3 linked regions of the Tamandua tetradactyla genome follow. The main gene of each other region encodes a partner of the protein of the gene in region 2 in a complex. Links are inferred from orthologs where the notes say so. Each region holds a gene or a part of one and is shown on either strand. Other genes may lie near its edges.

Region 1 (5,446 bases), on a different chromosome or scaffold from region 2:
TCTTCATCTGCAAAACTAAGCAATCTGATTAAATTAACTTCAGCACCATTTCAAGCTCCATGACAAGAACTAGAGCTGACATGGTTGGTTTTTGCTCATGGAATTTCATAATACATTTCTTAGGGGCCTATTAAATTAATGCTTTCCGTGAAATACTTCGTAATTCAAAAATCTTCAGACAACGTGAAAACAACTCCCCATCTCCCAATTTGATATAGTTTTTGTAAGCTAGTTTTCAAACTCTCTGAAGTGAGTTCTGTCCACCTCCAAGAATCCAGCACAGTGTCTGCTCAGTGCACACACTCAAGGGTCAATTCAAGAAAAGCACATCCACTAAATTAACATTTATTTCGGGTTCTTAAAGAGTTTGGGATTGGGTATTACTGTGGGGAGAACGTGAGCAAGATATTAAAGGGGGGATGCAGATTTCAACTCTAGTTATCAAAATTTCAAGGTGTCAAAGAAGAATTTTAATACTAGGATTCCGTTGGGCTCAGCATTAATTATTAGCTGCTCCAGAATATGAGTCTTACCTTCATTTCTCTATTTCTCACAACCGTGTGCGTAAGTTTCAATGAAGTTTAAACGAGAAAGAAAATCAAGAAGCTCAAGTGAAAACAAAACAGGACCACCTATTTTATAAAGTTAGGTTTTCAAATGAGAGCGGATTCCGGGGTTCAAACTGGCTTTTCACAATCTCTCGGCCTCACTTTCATCACCTGTAGGGTAACGGCGCCGATTTCAAGATTAAATAAGTTAATATATGTAAAGTGCTTGGAACAGTGCCATTCTTAGCGGACGTTTGACTTCCTTAAAGAACAAAGTCTCTTCAAGGCGCGGTCCTACTAACATCTGTATCCCTAGCTCGGTGCTATCTTCTAAGACAAAAGAACTGATAATACATCTCCGTCTGAGTGAAACGCGGTGAAGGCGGAGCAGGGCCCGGGTTCTGCGCACCTAACCCCCGCGCCGCCGCCGTCTAGTCAATGCAGCAAAGTCCTCTGGGAAGTGTAGTTTTTAGACGTTGGAAAAGACTTCAGCCACGGGCCAAAGAGACAATTAAGCTGGGGGACAAGCAGTAAAGGGAGGATATTATCTGATAACTTAACAATGTCGGGCGCCCCAGAAGCGGGTTGAGCCACTCACCTGAGTCCCCCAACACCAGCACCTTCACACGATCCAAGGAAGCCATCTTGCCACCACCTTCCCGGGGTCAACGTCAGTTATAGGACGCTAGGCCAATTAGAGCCGGCCTGAAGGGCAGAGCCTTCGATTTCATTGGCCGGCCAAAGCGTGACTGCAGGTGAATGTAGGGAGGTGGTTTCCAAGGCTTGTCGCAGGAATAACGCGTTGACGTTGGCGCATAAGTGTCGTAGCTCGTTTAAGCCGGTAGTTGAGGCGCTGAAGGAAGCTGTAGTGGGAGTGTTCGAGCGTTCGCTTCGGTAAACCTTGTTCCCAATTCCTTGTTCCAGGTTCCCTGGCTCGGGGTCGCATTTTAGGCTTTCTCCTCCTTTTCACTCCTCTCTCCTTAACCACCCTCTGCCCTTTACCTACACTTCTAACCTGGACCTCTTTTTGGTCCTTCAAAGAACCATTAACCTCGGAGCAGCCCTTGTGCGACCGCGTTTTGGTTGGGTTTGGCTGCGCTGGGTTTGGTTACTGGTTTCAGCTGGGAGAATCCAAGGGAGTTTGGGGGCTCTGGGTCTCGTAGTGGGGAGGAATGAACATTTTTGGACCGGGCTAGGGAGGGCAGCTGGGTCCGGATGTTTGCCGCGAAACATGGGAAGGCGTGGAGAGTGCTATGAAATATGGTAATTATGAAAACAGCAGTTAGGTTTATAGAATCCAAGAAATTCTAGAACTGGAATACTTTACCGAAGTAACCTAGATTCCTCTCATCCTCTCTTTTTTCCTTTTATACTCCACTTTGCAGGGAGCATAATTTTTTAAAATCGCGAATTTGGTTCTTTCACCTTCTTGTTAAAACCATTTGAAGTTTAATAAAAGGCAACAGCCTTTCTTTTCTGGAAGCAGGAATGGAATAAATGAGTTGGGGAGGAGCAAGAGTGGGCTTGTTGGAAGAACACGTGCCTAGGTTATCTATTGAAAGTTTATGGTAATACTTTACTAACTGTGCTGGATCTGGGAATTCATTGGTAAACAAGATAAAGCCTTTGCTCACAAAATAATGTTTTAAGGGTGGGGAGAGAGATGGAGAAAGTAGAACTCTACTCTAAAGAAAGGAAAAGAGCCATAGGAGCGACTTAAAGAAGATGATTCTAATCTAACAAGAGAAATCTGGGAAGGCCTCTCACAGGAAATGTCATTTGAGATTTGAAGGATAATCAGAAGAAGGAGATTTGGACTTAGCTCTTGGGACAGATTGAATAGCAGGTACAATGACTGAAGTGGGAGAAAACCTGTTTGGCTCATGAAATTGAAAGATTGTCAGTGTGGCTGAGGCTAGGCTGACAAGGGTAAATAGAGGGCAGAGAATGCATTCATTTCAAATTTGTTTCTTTAGCTCTATGCTGGTGAACAGTAGTCCCTAAATGTTTTTGTGATTGGAATACATGTGGGTAAATGGTAGCCCAGCCTGTGTTTGGGTGTTTAGGCTGGTTAGGGATGAGGCTGGCAGGTATTTTGAATAAAAAGAAAAAACTCAGAAGTCACACACTCAGAAGGCCAGCCAAGCTTCTAACCTGTCTAAACGTGCCAACTGCGGTCACCTTCAGGTGCTTATTTGCATGTGGGGATGTGGTCTTTTTTTTTCTCAGATATTTTCAATTTTCAAGAGAAGCTGGAAGTTGAAACGTGTGAAATTTCACAATTTTTAAATGTTGGTAACTACAGAAATTTTTCAAGACTTTTTTTAGGTCAAACAATATGTGTATAGGTTACCACTTGAGACCTCTGTTTTAAGTTACTTTAAATATCCAGAGATTGAGTGGGAGATTCAGCAGGAGTGGGTAAGTAGAAATGGTGGAGTAGGGAAGTCATTGGTCAGAAGAAGAATTTCAGAATACGGAGATTTTGAACACAGTAGCACAGCACTGACTTCTTTCCTGGTTCATTTCTTTTGTACAGCTCTCTGCTGTGCATCTTTCTAGTGGTATTTCCTCAAAGATAAACATCTGAGTGCACACTGCTTCCAAACCTACTTTTCTGGTATTACCTATTTCTCAGATAATATTTATATATCAACCTTAATATAATAGCCGAAGACAAATAGCTATTTTTAAATTTTTCCTACTCTAATACCCCATTTTCAATATATTGTTAGTTCCTTTCAGTTTTGTTTCTGTATTGTTTCATTCATCCTGTCCTTTTCTTGGAATTTTTGGTTTTATTTTTTTTCTCCTCCCATTTTTGTTTTCCTTAGTTTTGACTTGATTGCTGTAGTTGCTAATACTCCCGCATTTTCTCCATTTTCACTCACTATAGACCGTTCCTCATATTGTTGAGTCACTTTTTTCTTTTTATTTATACTTTATTGTTTTTTTTAATTTCTCCCTCATTTTTTAAAGGACAGTTTTGCTGGATATAGAATTCTTGGTTGGCAGTTTTTCTCTTTTAATAATTTAAATATATCATCCCACTGTCTTCTTGCCTCCATGGTTTCTGCTAAGAGATCTGCGCATAGTCTTACTGGGCTTCCCTTGTATGTGATGGATTGCTTTTCTCTTGCTGCTTTCAAGATTCTCTCTTTCTCTTTGACCTCTGACATTCTGATTAGTAAATGTCTTGGAGTATGTCCATTGGATCTATTCTCTTTGGGGTATGCTGCGCTTCTTGGATCTGTAATTTTAAGTCTTTCATAAGAGTTGGGAAATTTTCAGTGATAATTTCCTCCATTAGTTTTTCTCCTCCTTTTCTTTATTGTTTTTTTTAATGCAGTTTTACTGAGATATATTCACACACCATACAATCAAGAGTCACTTTTAAAAATCTTATAAATGGCAGTACTTAGTTGTACTGTATTATGGTGCCAACCCTGAAAGAGAATTTTCCTTGAATTATTTCATTTAATCCATACGTCAACCCTGTGAGGAAGGCACTTTTAATCACTTTTTATATGAGGAAACTGAGTTTGGGAATTTTCCAGGGCATAGGGGTAGGAAGTAGAACTCAAATTCAAAATCCACTATTGTTGGATTACAGAGTGTTTATGTCACATCCATGTTTAAATCTTCAGAGGCCCCTCAAGTGTATCAGGCAAAGAAAACAGGCTGGTAAGTGACACTGGGACTTCCCTATGCAGAACGTGCATCGGAGGGATATATAATAGCCTGGTGCCCAGTTTGTCAGTGGTCAGTGACTTCTGTGTACATTACAGCCGCTTAAAGAGGTTTTAAAATTAGTGTGGTGCTTGACTTGGCCCTCCAAACCAGCTGAAAACAGAGTCTCTGGGAATGAGGTTGAGGGTTCTTATTATTTATTCTCCAGATGATTCTGTTTTATAGCCAGGATTGAGAACTGCTGGTCTGGAGCACAGAGTGTATTATGTATGTGTGAGGGTAGGGTAGGGGGTGAAGGTGACAGTGGAGAATCACTAGTAGGAAATAACTGAAAATTAGGTTAGAGGAAGATCATGGATTAGGCTAAGGTCTTTATTCTGTAGGTAATAGGGAGCATTATGGTGTGTGCAGATGGATGGTCTTTGGGAGATGCCCAGATATGTGTTTTAGGAAACTAGCAGCAGTGTGAAAGAAGGACTGGAGGAGGGGAAGGGGTAGGGACAGGGGCATGTAATAGATGAGATTTTATTTAGGACAAAGTGGAAAAGGTGTGATTGCAGAGGCAGTTGGGCTTCAGCAGATTATATTTGGGACGGTAAGGGGGAAGATAGCTGAACAACCAAGAGTACTGGAAATAGAGAGAGACTGTTTACTTAAATGTAGGGTGACCATATTCCCAAATTTCCTGGAGCAAGGACTGTTGTGGATAGATTTCCTGCTGTTAATTATTTTTAGCAACCCCATCCATTCTCAAGTGCCCCAGTTTGGACAATAAATTTTATATCCTCATCTTAAATGGATTTTGAGGTTGAAAATGACAGCTGTTATTTCTTTAGCAAAGTAGTCTTTAGAGACATATTGAGCACAATCAGTTTTTGATTACACATGCTAATGTGTAGTAGCAAGTTGAATAATTCCATAAAGTAGCCTAGAAGTTATGCTTGTTATTTGATGACAGAGACTAGGAAAGCACAAAGAAGGGCAGATTGGAACTGAACCTGTGGGACCAAAAAGATAGAGCATTAGCTAGGTAGGTAGGAGAAATGCAGTTTCTGGAGGGGGAAATACTGGATTATTTGTTCAGTTGCATTTATTTGCAACTTTCCTGTTCAAAAAAAGTCTTACTCTGTAGGTAAACATTAAACACTATTGAAATGTCACCTGCTGAAAACTAGTCAGTCAGCACTTGCTTAGTTACACCAAATCTT
Region 2 (5,446 bases):
GCTTTCACAATGAGACTCTGTGAATGTGAAAACCTTATTCTGATGCTCCTTTTAGCTACTATATCAACAGAAGAGCAGAACATATGGAATAAAAATAAATAATAGGGGGAACAAATGTTAAAATAAATTCAGTTTGCAATAGTGGTAAATGAAAGCCAGGGGTAAGGGGTATGGTACGTATAGTTTTTTTTTCTCTATTATCATTTTATTTCTTTTTCTGTTGTCTTTTTATTTCTTTTTCTAAATCGATGCAAATGTACTAAGAAATGATGAATATGCAACTATGTGATGATATTAAGAATTACTGATTGTATATGTAGAATGGAATGATATTTAAATGTTTTATTTGTTACTTTTTTTTAATTAATAAAAAAAGTTAAAAAAAAATCTGGGTCCTAATCAATTGTTACATAAAGTTACATTTCCTGAGGGCGTGTGATAACCATAAAGCAGGTTTATTAGAAAATGCTCTAGGATGAAACTAATTAAAAGAGCACACATTTTGGCTTTAGTTTCGAGTTTTGACCAACATGTGTCATGTATTATCTAATTAAATCTTCACACAATGTAAATAACCCATTGTGTTAATTTTCCCAAATAAGTTATTATTTTCCCAATAACTTAACCTAGACACAGGTTAAGTTATTTGAGGAGTAACCAGTACTAAGTAATTAAACAACGAGAGTGGTTAAGCATCGTCTTGGCTGCAACTGTAGGTTATAAGAGAGAGGAAAGGACAGCCCCAGGAAGTCTGATCTCCAGCACATTGCACCATGAGGGCAAGGCCGAGGATCTTTTCCCTTGCTTTATGTCCACTCCTTTATGTTGCCTGCAAAATCCGAAATGCTTTCCCACAGAGTTCAGAGTTGTAGTGGAAAAAACCCTGGTTGGGAGTTCAGAGACTGGGACAAATCCTCCACTTCAGGAGCTGTCTTTGCTAGCTGTGCCGTCTTGAGCAAATCATTTAGCTTCACTTTAAAAAGAAACGGCTGGGACAATGTACTCAGAGGTTCAGGTGCTGAGGACTGGCATTTGAGGTAAAGTCACAGTAGCCTTAAATCTCTGCAAAGGAAATATATTTCTTCCATATTCCTTTGTGCGGCCCCATCCCGCGCCGGCCCCAAGTCTGGTTCTCAGTCCCACTACCAGCCACCCTCCCGTTGTCATGGAGATCTGAACGCCCGAGAAAGGCTGAGTCCCCGCCCCAGGTACCTGTGGCCTGGCTCGCGAATGCGCACGCGCGTTCTCGGCAGCGCCGGCGCCGCGGTGGTTGCTGGGACTCTGCTCCTAGCAGCCCGATCAGGAAGTGGCGGGCGGAGCCCCGGGTCGCGTCGCCGCCTCAGCCGCCGCCGCCAGTGCCGAGACCCCGGCGAGCGGGTCAGCGCTGGGTGCGCGCGCGGGCAGGCGGGGGCGCTGACGAGGAGCAGGAAGGGGCGGCCGCGCCGGTGTGGGCGGCTGGCCGGGGCGGAGGTGCCCGAGAGGCAGCGGCGGGTCGCGTGGGGCGGCCCTCCTGGCTCAGGTAGGGGCTCTGGCGGCCGGCAGTGGGGCGCGGACCCCCAGCCTGTGGTTCCTCGGGACTGAGGGGGGCGGGAGTGTGTTCCACCTCCCCGGGAGGCTGGGGTGCCGTCCTCTGTTCGAAACTCCTCTAAACACTGTAACGATTCCGTGGGAGCATTGTCCTTTAGGCCGGAGCGTACATTTAGCAAACTTTTGGGTTGGAAAGAGGGAAATTCGCAATCGGACGGCTGATTTGTTCCTTTGAGTGCCTTCAAGTTTACACCAGAAGCATTTAAGCGAACTTTGGTATCCAGACAAATAAAGGCTGTGATTTAGACACATACTCGTCCACGGACTATTTCTTAGGCTGGCTTTTGGAGACCTAGTTGGTACTGACTTTTCAAGTTTAATTCTCATAGTTTTGTGCAAAGGCTAAAGACTTTTTTGTAAAGCAGAAAAGCTGCGATGCCTTTCCGCGCACCTCTACATTTCTGTCGTCTGGGAGGGAAGCAGCTTCCTCTCAGCCCGCCGGCTGTTCGTAGCAGGGTGCTTGGGTGTCAGTGGCACCCTCGAGGTTTAGTCGGGGGAAGCAGCAAAACAGAAGAGTAGAAAGGTTGAAAGAGGTCGGATGGTGTAGTGGAGAGGACCTGTGCTTTGGAGCCAGAAGATTTTGGTTTAGTTTTTGGCTTCTCGATGTTCATCCGTGGAAGAATACAACAGCAAACGGAACCTGTGGGGTGGTCATCGTGGTTTTTTTTAAATGTAAACATGTGGGTGGGGATGTGTCCAGTCTGATCGAGATGTAAACCTCAATGGAAATGTTTTTGTAATCCGAGAAAAGGGAAGAAGTGGAGAAAAGTTAGGAAGAGCATGCAGTGGTGAAAGAAAGAGATCGAGAAGGTGCCACCCAGGTCGCCTTTGTTTGGAGGCCTTGACCTGCTTTCCAGGTCTGGTGTAAAGAGCACTTAACCAGGAGTCAGGAGATTCGGGTCCTAGCCCTTTTTTTCCAGCTGTGTCGCCTTTGCTGTACCTCTTCACTTCAGATTTCACATATTAAAGGAGAAATAAACCTGATGCTTTATTATTTCATAGAGTTGTGAGGATCAAAGACAGTAAGCCTTTAGGTCTTTGTGAACAGTAAGGCTTTATTTAAACTTGTGTCAAAATCGTTATTAAAAGCTCAGATTTATTATGTTTGTAGGTGAAATGAACAATAAAAATTGAAATACAAATGCTTCCTGTTTTAGGAGATTACGATCTGCTTGTTGCCCCTACCATGTCACTTGTGAATTCTCATTCCTTATTCTCATACTGACACTTTCCCTCTTCCCAAAATATTCTCCTCCCTGCCTTGCCCCAGTATAGCCATTCTGTTATTTATTTCCAGATCCAATTCAAATAGTAATACTGTAGTGATGACCTTTATGTATATAGCATGGAGCTTGAAGTTTTTAAAAATTGCATTCAAAAACATTTTTTCATTTTGTCCTTATAATTGGGCCAAACATAAATAGTGCTGAAAGTATCCTCCTTTTACTTATGGTAAAATTGGATTTAGAGAGGTCTAGGGGATTGCTTAGGGCCATGCGACTCTGGGAACTGAAACTGAGACAAGAGGGCTGGCCTTTGACTTTGGGCCCAGTGACTTCACTTTTTACTTAACCACTTTTTGCTTAACTCTGTTGCTTATCGACACTTGTGTTTTTAATACTCCGAATCACATTTTATTTATTTATTGCTTTTTATGCACCATGCTTGTTTACCTTTGTGTTCTCAAATGTAAGCTGCTTGAGGGCAAGGATTTATCTTCCAGACCTTTTAAAACTTTGGAGCACAATGCCTCACAAACAGAAGATGTTTAATAAAACATCTTGTTGAGACCAGTAATCCTAAGGCTAGAGCAATTTAATGATTTTTAAAATTTGTTATTCACTTAAATATTTATTGAGCTACCTTGTGCTTAAAACCTTTCAGTGTTTGAGATGGAATCCTTTTTCTCCAGGATCTTACTGAATTATGAATACTAATCTTAACAATGTCATACTCATTCACATAGCTTGAGCTCTTTCTAGATCCTCTGCAGGCATCTATGAAGATTTCAGACAAGAGAAGAATGTTTTTGTAAATTCTTGTTTATTGATCTGTAGCTTCCTGGTTTAGCTAAAGTTTTTAGACTTGTCGAATTTTAGAATTGAGAAAAATCCCTGAGGGGCTAATTTAGTCCAAGCCTCCCAAATCAGGAATTTTCTGTAGATATTTCTAACAGATACTCATCTAGCCTCTTCATCACTAGTTAATTGAGAGTTCATCAGTTTTTAAGGTACATAGTTTCATATATAAGCACTTGAGATTACCCTTTCTCTCTCTTTTGTTTTTGTTTGCAATGGGCCTAAATCTACTTCCTGATTTTTTCTGCAAAGTCCTGATGTTGTTTTCTAGTGCAATGTTAAAAGAAACAGGTGAAATGAATTTTAATATTCTATTTAACCCAGTATATCTAAAATATCGTTTTAACACATAATCAATGTAAAGTATTTAGGTGATTGTTATATTTTCTTTGAAATCTGGTGTGTGTTTTACACTTAGAATATATCTCAATTTGGTCTAGCTACATTTCAGGTTCTCAATTGGTACGTGTGGTTAATGACTACTACCATACTGGACAGCACAGCTGTAGAGTTTAAAAGAATAATTTTACTTCTTTTTTCACTCCCTAGCACAGTCCTTGGCACATAATAGGCACTAATTAAATATGTGTTGGATGAATAAATGAGTGAGTAAATACGACAATTGTTAGAGAACTTATAAAAGGTGATTTTGAGTTGTAACTCTTGTTGAGAGCTATGTATTTGGCAGATGGGTTTGAGTGATGTTTGTGTGTATTGAAGATATTTATTTTTGTCTTTTCAGCAGCATGGATCCCAGCCTGTTGAGAGAAAGGGAGCTGTTCAAAAAACGAGCTCTTTCCACTCCTGTAGTAGAGAAACGTTCAGTAACTTCTGAGTCATCATCATCATCATCGAAGAAGAAGAAAGCAAAGCTAGAACATGGAGGGTCATCAGGCTCTAAACAGAATTCTGGTTAGTTAAATTGGCTGTTTAGGACTGTTTAGTTTTTTTTTTTTTCAGGAAATTATTACTGAGGTATAATTTATATGCCATAAACTTCCCCATTTTAAGTGCACAAGTCAGTAGTTTAATAAAGTCACGGAGCTGTGCAACCATTACTGCAATCCAATTTTGGAACATTTCCACCACCCCAAAAAGCTCCCTTCTGCCCATTTGTAGTCACTCCTTTCTTAGTTTGCTATGGCCGCTGTAACAAAGTATCACAGACTAGGAGGTTTAAAACAATAGAAATTTATTGTCTCACAATTCTGAAGGCTAAAAGTCCAAAATCAATGTGTCGGCAGGGCCATACTCCCTCTGAAACCTATATGGGAGAATGCTTCCTAGCTTCTGGTGATTTGCCCATAATTCTTGGTGTTCTAGTTTGCTAGCTGCCGGAATACAATATACCAGGAACAGAATGGCTTTTTAAAAGTGGAATTTAATGAGTTGCTAGTTTATAGTTCTAAGGCTGAAAAAGTGTCCCAATTAAAATAAGTCTGTAGAAATGTCCAATCTAAGACATCCATCCAGGGAAAGATACCTTGGTTCAAGAAGGCCAATGAAGTTTAGGATTTCTCTCTCAAGTGAGAAGGCACATGGCAAACACAGTCAGGGTATCTCTCTCATCTGGAAAGGCACATGGCAAACATGGCATCATCTCCTAACTTTCTCTCCTGGCTTCCTGTTTCATGAAGCTCCTCGAAAGGAGTTTTCCTTCTTTCATCTCCAAAGGTCGCTGGCTCGTGGACGCTGCTTCTCGTGGCTTTGTCATTCTGCTCTGCTCTGCTCTCTCTGAATCTCCCTTTCTCCAAAGTGTTTCCTCTTTTATAGGATTCCAG
Region 3 (5,446 bases), on a different chromosome or scaffold from region 2:
AGGTGTTAATAACAGGGTGGCATATGGTAAAAATTACAATTAATATGATCTATGGACTATAGTTGATAGTAATATGGTAATCTTCTTTCATTAATTGGTAACAAAGACACTAATACCAAAGCTAAGCATCAATAATGGGAGGGCTTAAGCGATATGGGATTTTTTTTTTTTAATAAATGAGAATGTTCTCATATTAATTGTGGTGGTGAATGCTGTTCTAGTTTGCTAGCTGCTGGAATGCAATGTACCAGAAACAGAATGGCTTAGTGGAATTTAATAAGTTGCTAGTTTACAGTTCTAAGGCCAAGAAACTGTTCCAATTAAAACAAGTCTATAGAAATGTCCAATCAAAGGCATCCAGGGAAAGATACCTTGGTTCAAGAAGGCCAATGAAGTTCAGGGTTTCTTTCTCAAGTGAGAAGGCACATGGTGAACACAGTCACGGTTTTTTGGCTGGGAGGGCACAAGGTGAGCATGGTGTCATCTGCTAGCTCCTCTCCTGGCTTCCTATTTCATAAAGCTCCCCGGGAGGCGTTTTTCTTCTTCATCTCCAAAGCACTGGCTGGTGGACTCTCTGCTTCGTGGTGCTGCAGAATTCTCTGCTCTCTCCGAATCTCCAGCTTTCTCCAAAATGTTTCCTTTTTTATAAGATTCCCATAAACTAATCAAGACCCCCCAAATGGGTGGAGACACGTTTCCACGTAATCCACTCCTGATTGAGTCATATCTCTAGGGAGATGATCTAATTACAGTTTCAAACATACAGTACTGAATAGGGATTAGAAGAAATGGCTACCTTTACAAAAGGGGATTACGATTAAAACATGGCTTTTCTAGGGTACATACATCTTTTCAAACAAGCACAGCAAGTAAGGTTATCCTTTGGGGCAGGCTGGCCTGAAAAAGAAGTGAGGGAGTCAGGGCTGTTGAGGCACACTGGTCTGCTTTTCCTGATGGGGGGGAGAGAGAATTCCCATGGAATCTGAGCAACTGACAGGGAGCCTCAACCATCTAGCAGATGGACAGCATCAAAGGGGATTGGTGTGTCTTCCATATTATGACAACTCCAAGGAAGTGCGAGGTCTCTGTTTTTGCAGAAGGGTAGATCAGGGTCTTCTACTTACAACATACACTTAAACGACCGTGGGGTTTTTCAAGGCTACGTGGATTCCTCTGGCTCTAGAACCAAAGCTGCTCTTGCTGAACCTTTTCCATAGTTCTGAGGCTCATCGTGTTTCTGCTTTTCTCTTTCTGGCTTTTTTATCAGTCAGAATCTCAGCAGGAAACAGATTGCACACTCACTCTGGCTCATTGATGTGGGTTTAATAAAGACGCCATCTACAAAAGTGTGGGCAGAATTGAAGGAACTGACAAGTCTCGACAGTTCTCTAGGGATCTTTGTGTGCACCGGGAGCTGTAGGGACCCGGTTCTCCTCGCCGTGGGAGGGAGCGCGCCCCTCTGGACCCTGACTCTGGATGCTCCATTTGTACACCCCCAGCGCCTGGCTCAAAGTGAGCACTCAATAAGTGGTTTGTTGAAGGGACAAGCGAATGAATATTTGGAAAGCCTGAATGTAAAGGCGTCTTGGAATCCAGCGTTCCTGAAATGGATTCCCGGTCCCCCTGTGACTCTGAGCCTGCGACCACATCTGTAAATAGGAATTATAATAAAACCTGCCTCATGGGGATGCTGTGTGAATTAACTGAAGTAACAGCTACTTACTATGCTCTGTGAAAGCAGTCTTCAAATTGCTTGCTGAATGAAAGCATTCTGCTAAACGCCCTACTTGGGTCGTCTTTCATTAACTAAGTAGTTCCGTTTCGAGGCATTAACTGAGCATGTATCATCCGCCAGGCACTGTCAATTTATGCTTGTCCTGAAGGTTTGACGGCTGGTGGGCGGGCCAGAGGGCGGGGCTTCGTGGTTCCCTGACCTGCCCCTCCCAAACAACGAAGCCCAATCGGGTTCGCGGAGGGGGCGGAGTCCCACCCCCGCCGCCGACGTCTGCCCGGAAGCCGGGTTGGGGCGGCTACGGGTATTTCCGGCGGAAGTAGAAGTGCCGCTACCTCCGTAGGTGAGGTACCTGCAGTCAAATCTCCTCCGAGAAGATGTTCTACCACGTGAGCGCCGCGTGGGTGGAGGCGAGGGCCTGGCGGATTGGAGGGGCTAGGGGCAGCCTCTCACCCCGTCTCCCCACGGCGCTTTGCCAGATCTCCACTCCACTTGCCCCTGCAGATCTCCTTGGAGCATGAGATCCTGCTGCACCCGCGCTACTTCGGCCCCAATCTGCTCAACACGGTGAAGCAGAAGCTCTTCACCGAGGTGGAGGGGACTTGTACCGGGAAGTGAGTGCCCTCTGCCTGCAGCCCCCTCCCCAACTTCTCATCCTGCGAGGGCTTGTCACCCATTCTCGGAAGCCCTGTCATCTTCCCGGGCACCCCAGGCAGTCAGTTGCCCCCCTGGTTTGGGTTTCTGCGAAGTGCCCTCTGCAAAGCTGGACAACTGGACTTACCTTGCTCAGCTGAGATTGGTCATTCATTTAACAGATTTTTCAGCTTGACCTGAAAGAGAGTTTGGGGAAGGAAAGAAGGCCCTGCAGAGAGGCCTCTCAGAGATGACGTGAAAGAATTAGGGTTTAACGCCAGGACAATGGAGTACTCGGGCCTCCAATTTCAGAATAATCTGAAGCGTTTCTTGAAATGCAGGTTCCTGAGTCTCATCTCAGCCGTGCAGAATCAGGTCTCTGGGAGTCTGCATTTTAACAAATTCCTCCCAGAGGAATCTGAGGGATCCCAAAGTTTGAGGTCTTTTAACTCAAGGGCTGCAACCTTGGACATATGTTTTGGGATTCTGAGCACAGCATTTGGCACTATGGAGAATTGTTACCGACGTGTGTCGTGTCTTCTTTATTGGTCATTAACCGCTCTGAAGACAGGAGTGCTGCCTACTTTCCCTTTGTGTCCCCCCTTTTATCCCCCAGCTGTGGCTTTAGAGGGCCTTCTGCAAACAGCACCTTTCTCTTTCTCATTCTCCTCGCAGGTATGGCTTTGTAATTGCCGTCACCACCATCGACAACATAGGGGCTGGTGTAATCCAGCCAGGCCGAGGCTTTGTCCTTTACCCAGTTAAGTATAAGGCCATTGTTTTCCGGCCCTTCAAAGGGGAAGTCGTCGATGCCGTTGTCACCCAGGTCAACAAGGTGAGGTCATGTTTTGGGGAAGGCAGTGGGCTGGTCCTTCCAAGGTCTAGGTTGGGTTGTGATTGATTCCATTTACTAATTCTGTGTCCTTGGGCAAGTCACAACTTTGCGCTGCAGTTTCCTCCCTGTGTTAAATGAAACATTAACACCTGAATCTATTTTTTTATTATTTTTGAATTTTTTTTTAAATACCAAAAAACACCAAACAAATGCAAATGTTCATAATTTTTTTATCATTCCGTTCTACATGTATAATCAGTAATTCACAATATTGTCACATAGTTGCATATTCATCGTCATGATCATTTCTTGGAACATTTGCATCTATTCAGAAAAAAGAAATAAAAAAAACAGAAAAAAATTCATACATACCATTACCCCCCATCCCTCCCCGTCACCGATCACCAGCATTTCACTCTAAATTTATTTTAACATTTGTTCCCCCTATTATTCATCTTTATTCCATATGTTTTATTCATCTGTTGATAAGGTGGACAAAAGGAGCATCATACACAAGGTTTTCACAATCACACAGTCACGTTGTGACAGCTATATCATTATACAATCATCTTCAAGAAACATGGCTACTGAAACACAGCTCTACATTTTCAGGCAGTTCCCTCCGGCCTCTCCACTGTATCTTGACTAACAAGGTGATATCTACTTAATGCGTAAGAATAACCTCCAGGATAACCTCTTGACTCTATTTGGAATCTCTCAGCCATTGATACTTAATTTGTCTCATTTCACTCTTTCCCTTTTGGTCGAGAAGGTTTTCTCAATCCCTTAATGCTGAGTCTCAGCTCATTCCATTTCTGTCCCACATTGCAGGAAGTTTCTCACCCCTGGGCGTCTGTTTTAATAGTTATAACAATAGTAGTTAGTGTTGATTGAGGGGTTGCTGTGGGCCAGGTAATGTACATGGCCTAACAGTGACTGGCAGGTGGGATCTTTTATCACTTTTTATAGAAGCTGAGGCTTAGAAAAGTTAAGTTTACTGACCAGCATCATGTGGCCAGCAGTTGGCAGTGTTGGTGTTCAGATTCCAGGCCTAATTTGACTGCTGTGCTGTATTTGCTTAATTTAAAATGAAAGGATTTAAAATAAAAAGGAGAAAGGGGAAAAAAAAGTTGTAAACAAGAGTGATTAAAAAACATGAAGAATATTATTAATACTCGGATAAAATGAGCAGCTTAGAAGACTTTGGGGAGCAGGAGGTAAAGCAAGAGCATTCATTTTCCTTCTAGGTGGGACTCTTCACAGAAATTGGGCCCATGTCCTGCTTCATCTCTCGACATGTAAGTTTAGGGCTTGCAGGGTGGGGCTGAGCCACCCACTTGTGGCCATCTACTTAAGCGTCCATGCAAAGCATGGATCCGGTCTCTTTCTTTTTAGTCCATCCCATCAGAGATGGAGTTTGATCCTAACTCTAACCCACCGTGCTATAAGACAATGGATGAGGTGAGTGGGCACGAGGAGGTCAGTGTGAGGGAGGACGGAATGAGCCACTCTGAGCCAGGGGCACTGGGCTGGCAGTTCTGAGTACCACCGATCGCTTCTCCCCAGGACATTGTGATCCAGCAGGACGATGAGATCCGCCTGAAGATTGTGGGGACCCGTGTGGACAAAAATGACATCGTGAGTCTCTTGCCTGCTTCCCTGCCCAGGCAGAACTGGGAGCTGCTGATTTCTCACCACCCAGAATTCCAGAATCTCTGTGCTCTTCTTCCAGGAGGAGGGGCTGGGTGGGCAGAAGACCTGGGGCTGGGAGGCGGAGGATGGCCTGTGCCTGCTTGGCTTCATTTCCTTTTTACCTTCCCTCCTGCAGTTTGCTATCGGCTCCCTGATGGACGATTACCTGGGTAAGTGGCTGGCCGTGGCTGGCCATGCCTGTCAGGGCTGCTGCCTGCAGAAGGGCTGGGTGGGGGCAGCGTGGATAGTGGGCTAATCCCTGAGTCGCAGCCACAAAGCTCTCACATGGTCTGCTTGCAAGATCCAGGACATGTGTCCCTTGGGATGGGAGGTGCACGGTTATGGCTGCTCCTAGCTCTGGGATTAACTGATGTGCCTTTCCTGTTCTCACAGGGCTCGTCAGCTGAGCATGGGGGCCGCCTACTTTATTTGGTTCTTATGTGTGATTATCACACTTCCTGTGTTATCCCGAGGCCCAGTCTGGCTGCTGTACAGGAGACAGGGAAGGTTCCTTGTCCCCAGAAGACATCTAGCTCTTTTTTTGGCTTAGCTGC

The links.
Region 1: the proteins of GTF2E2 (region 2) and GTF2E1 are in contact, whole or in part, in a crystal structure (PDB 5GPY), measured with the Homo sapiens proteins. The link is inferred for Tamandua tetradactyla from reciprocal best matches to the Homo sapiens genes GTF2E2 and GTF2E1. Residues at the interface, in NP_002086.1 of Homo sapiens: Asp159, Gln160, Arg161, Gly162, Leu163, Gly164, Gly165, Leu167, Leu190, Val192, Asn193, Arg194, Pro195, Ile200, Phe202, Cys208, Gln209, Phe210, Ser211, Val212, Asp213, Glu215, Phe216, Gln217, Leu219, Trp220, Arg221, Val223, Thr224, Val225; in NP_005504.2 of Homo sapiens: Arg16, Lys19, Tyr20, Val21, Arg23, Gly24, Phe25, Tyr26, Ile28, Glu29, Leu32, Arg39, Leu51, Leu52, Lys53, Phe54, Asp55, Gln58, Gly68, Asp69, Lys70, Phe71, Lys73, Thr98, Asn101, Val102, Val103, Lys104, Tyr105, Lys106.
Region 3: GTF2E2 (region 2) and POLR2G share a complex: the UniProt entries of both Homo sapiens proteins name them as parts of the TBP-based Pol II pre-initiation complex. The link is inferred for Tamandua tetradactyla from reciprocal best matches to the Homo sapiens genes GTF2E2 and POLR2G.

The regions. Positions count from the first base shown.
Region 1 is NC_135336.1:25,107,633-25,113,078, reverse strand, and holds the start of GTF2E1 (general transcription factor IIE subunit 1), read left to right. Parts: upstream 1-1,311; 5' UTR 1,312-1,442; intron 1,443-1,448; exon of another isoform or gene 1,449-2,394; intron 2,395-5,446. Other genes in the region: RABL3 (rab-like protein 3), read right to left, coding at 1,147-1,192.
Region 2 is NC_135352.1:12,981,379-12,986,824, forward strand, and holds the start of GTF2E2 (transcription initiation factor IIE subunit beta), read left to right. Parts: upstream 1-1,386; 5' UTR 1,387-1,519; intron 1,520-4,407; 5' UTR 4,408-4,411; coding exon 4,412-4,577; intron 4,578-5,446. UniProt on the Homo sapiens protein: Recruits TFIIH to the initiation complex and stimulates the RNA polymerase II C-terminal domain kinase and DNA-dependent ATPase activities of TFIIH. Both TFIIH and TFIIE are required for promoter clearance by RNA polymerase.
Region 3 is NC_135335.1:11,826,331-11,831,776, reverse strand, and holds the start of POLR2G (DNA-directed RNA polymerase II subunit RPB7), read left to right. Parts: upstream 1-2,006; 5' UTR 2,007-2,109; coding exon 2,110-2,121; intron 2,122-2,236; coding exon 2,237-2,346; intron 2,347-3,040; coding exon 3,041-3,200; intron 3,201-4,447; coding exon 4,448-4,498; intron 4,499-4,595; coding exon 4,596-4,661; intron 4,662-4,766; coding exon 4,767-4,838; intron 4,839-5,028; coding exon 5,029-5,062; intron 5,063-5,285; coding exon 5,286-5,299; 3' UTR 5,300-5,446. UniProt on the Homo sapiens protein: Core component of RNA polymerase II (Pol II), a DNA-dependent RNA polymerase which synthesizes mRNA precursors and many functional non-coding RNAs using the four ribonucleoside triphosphates as substrates.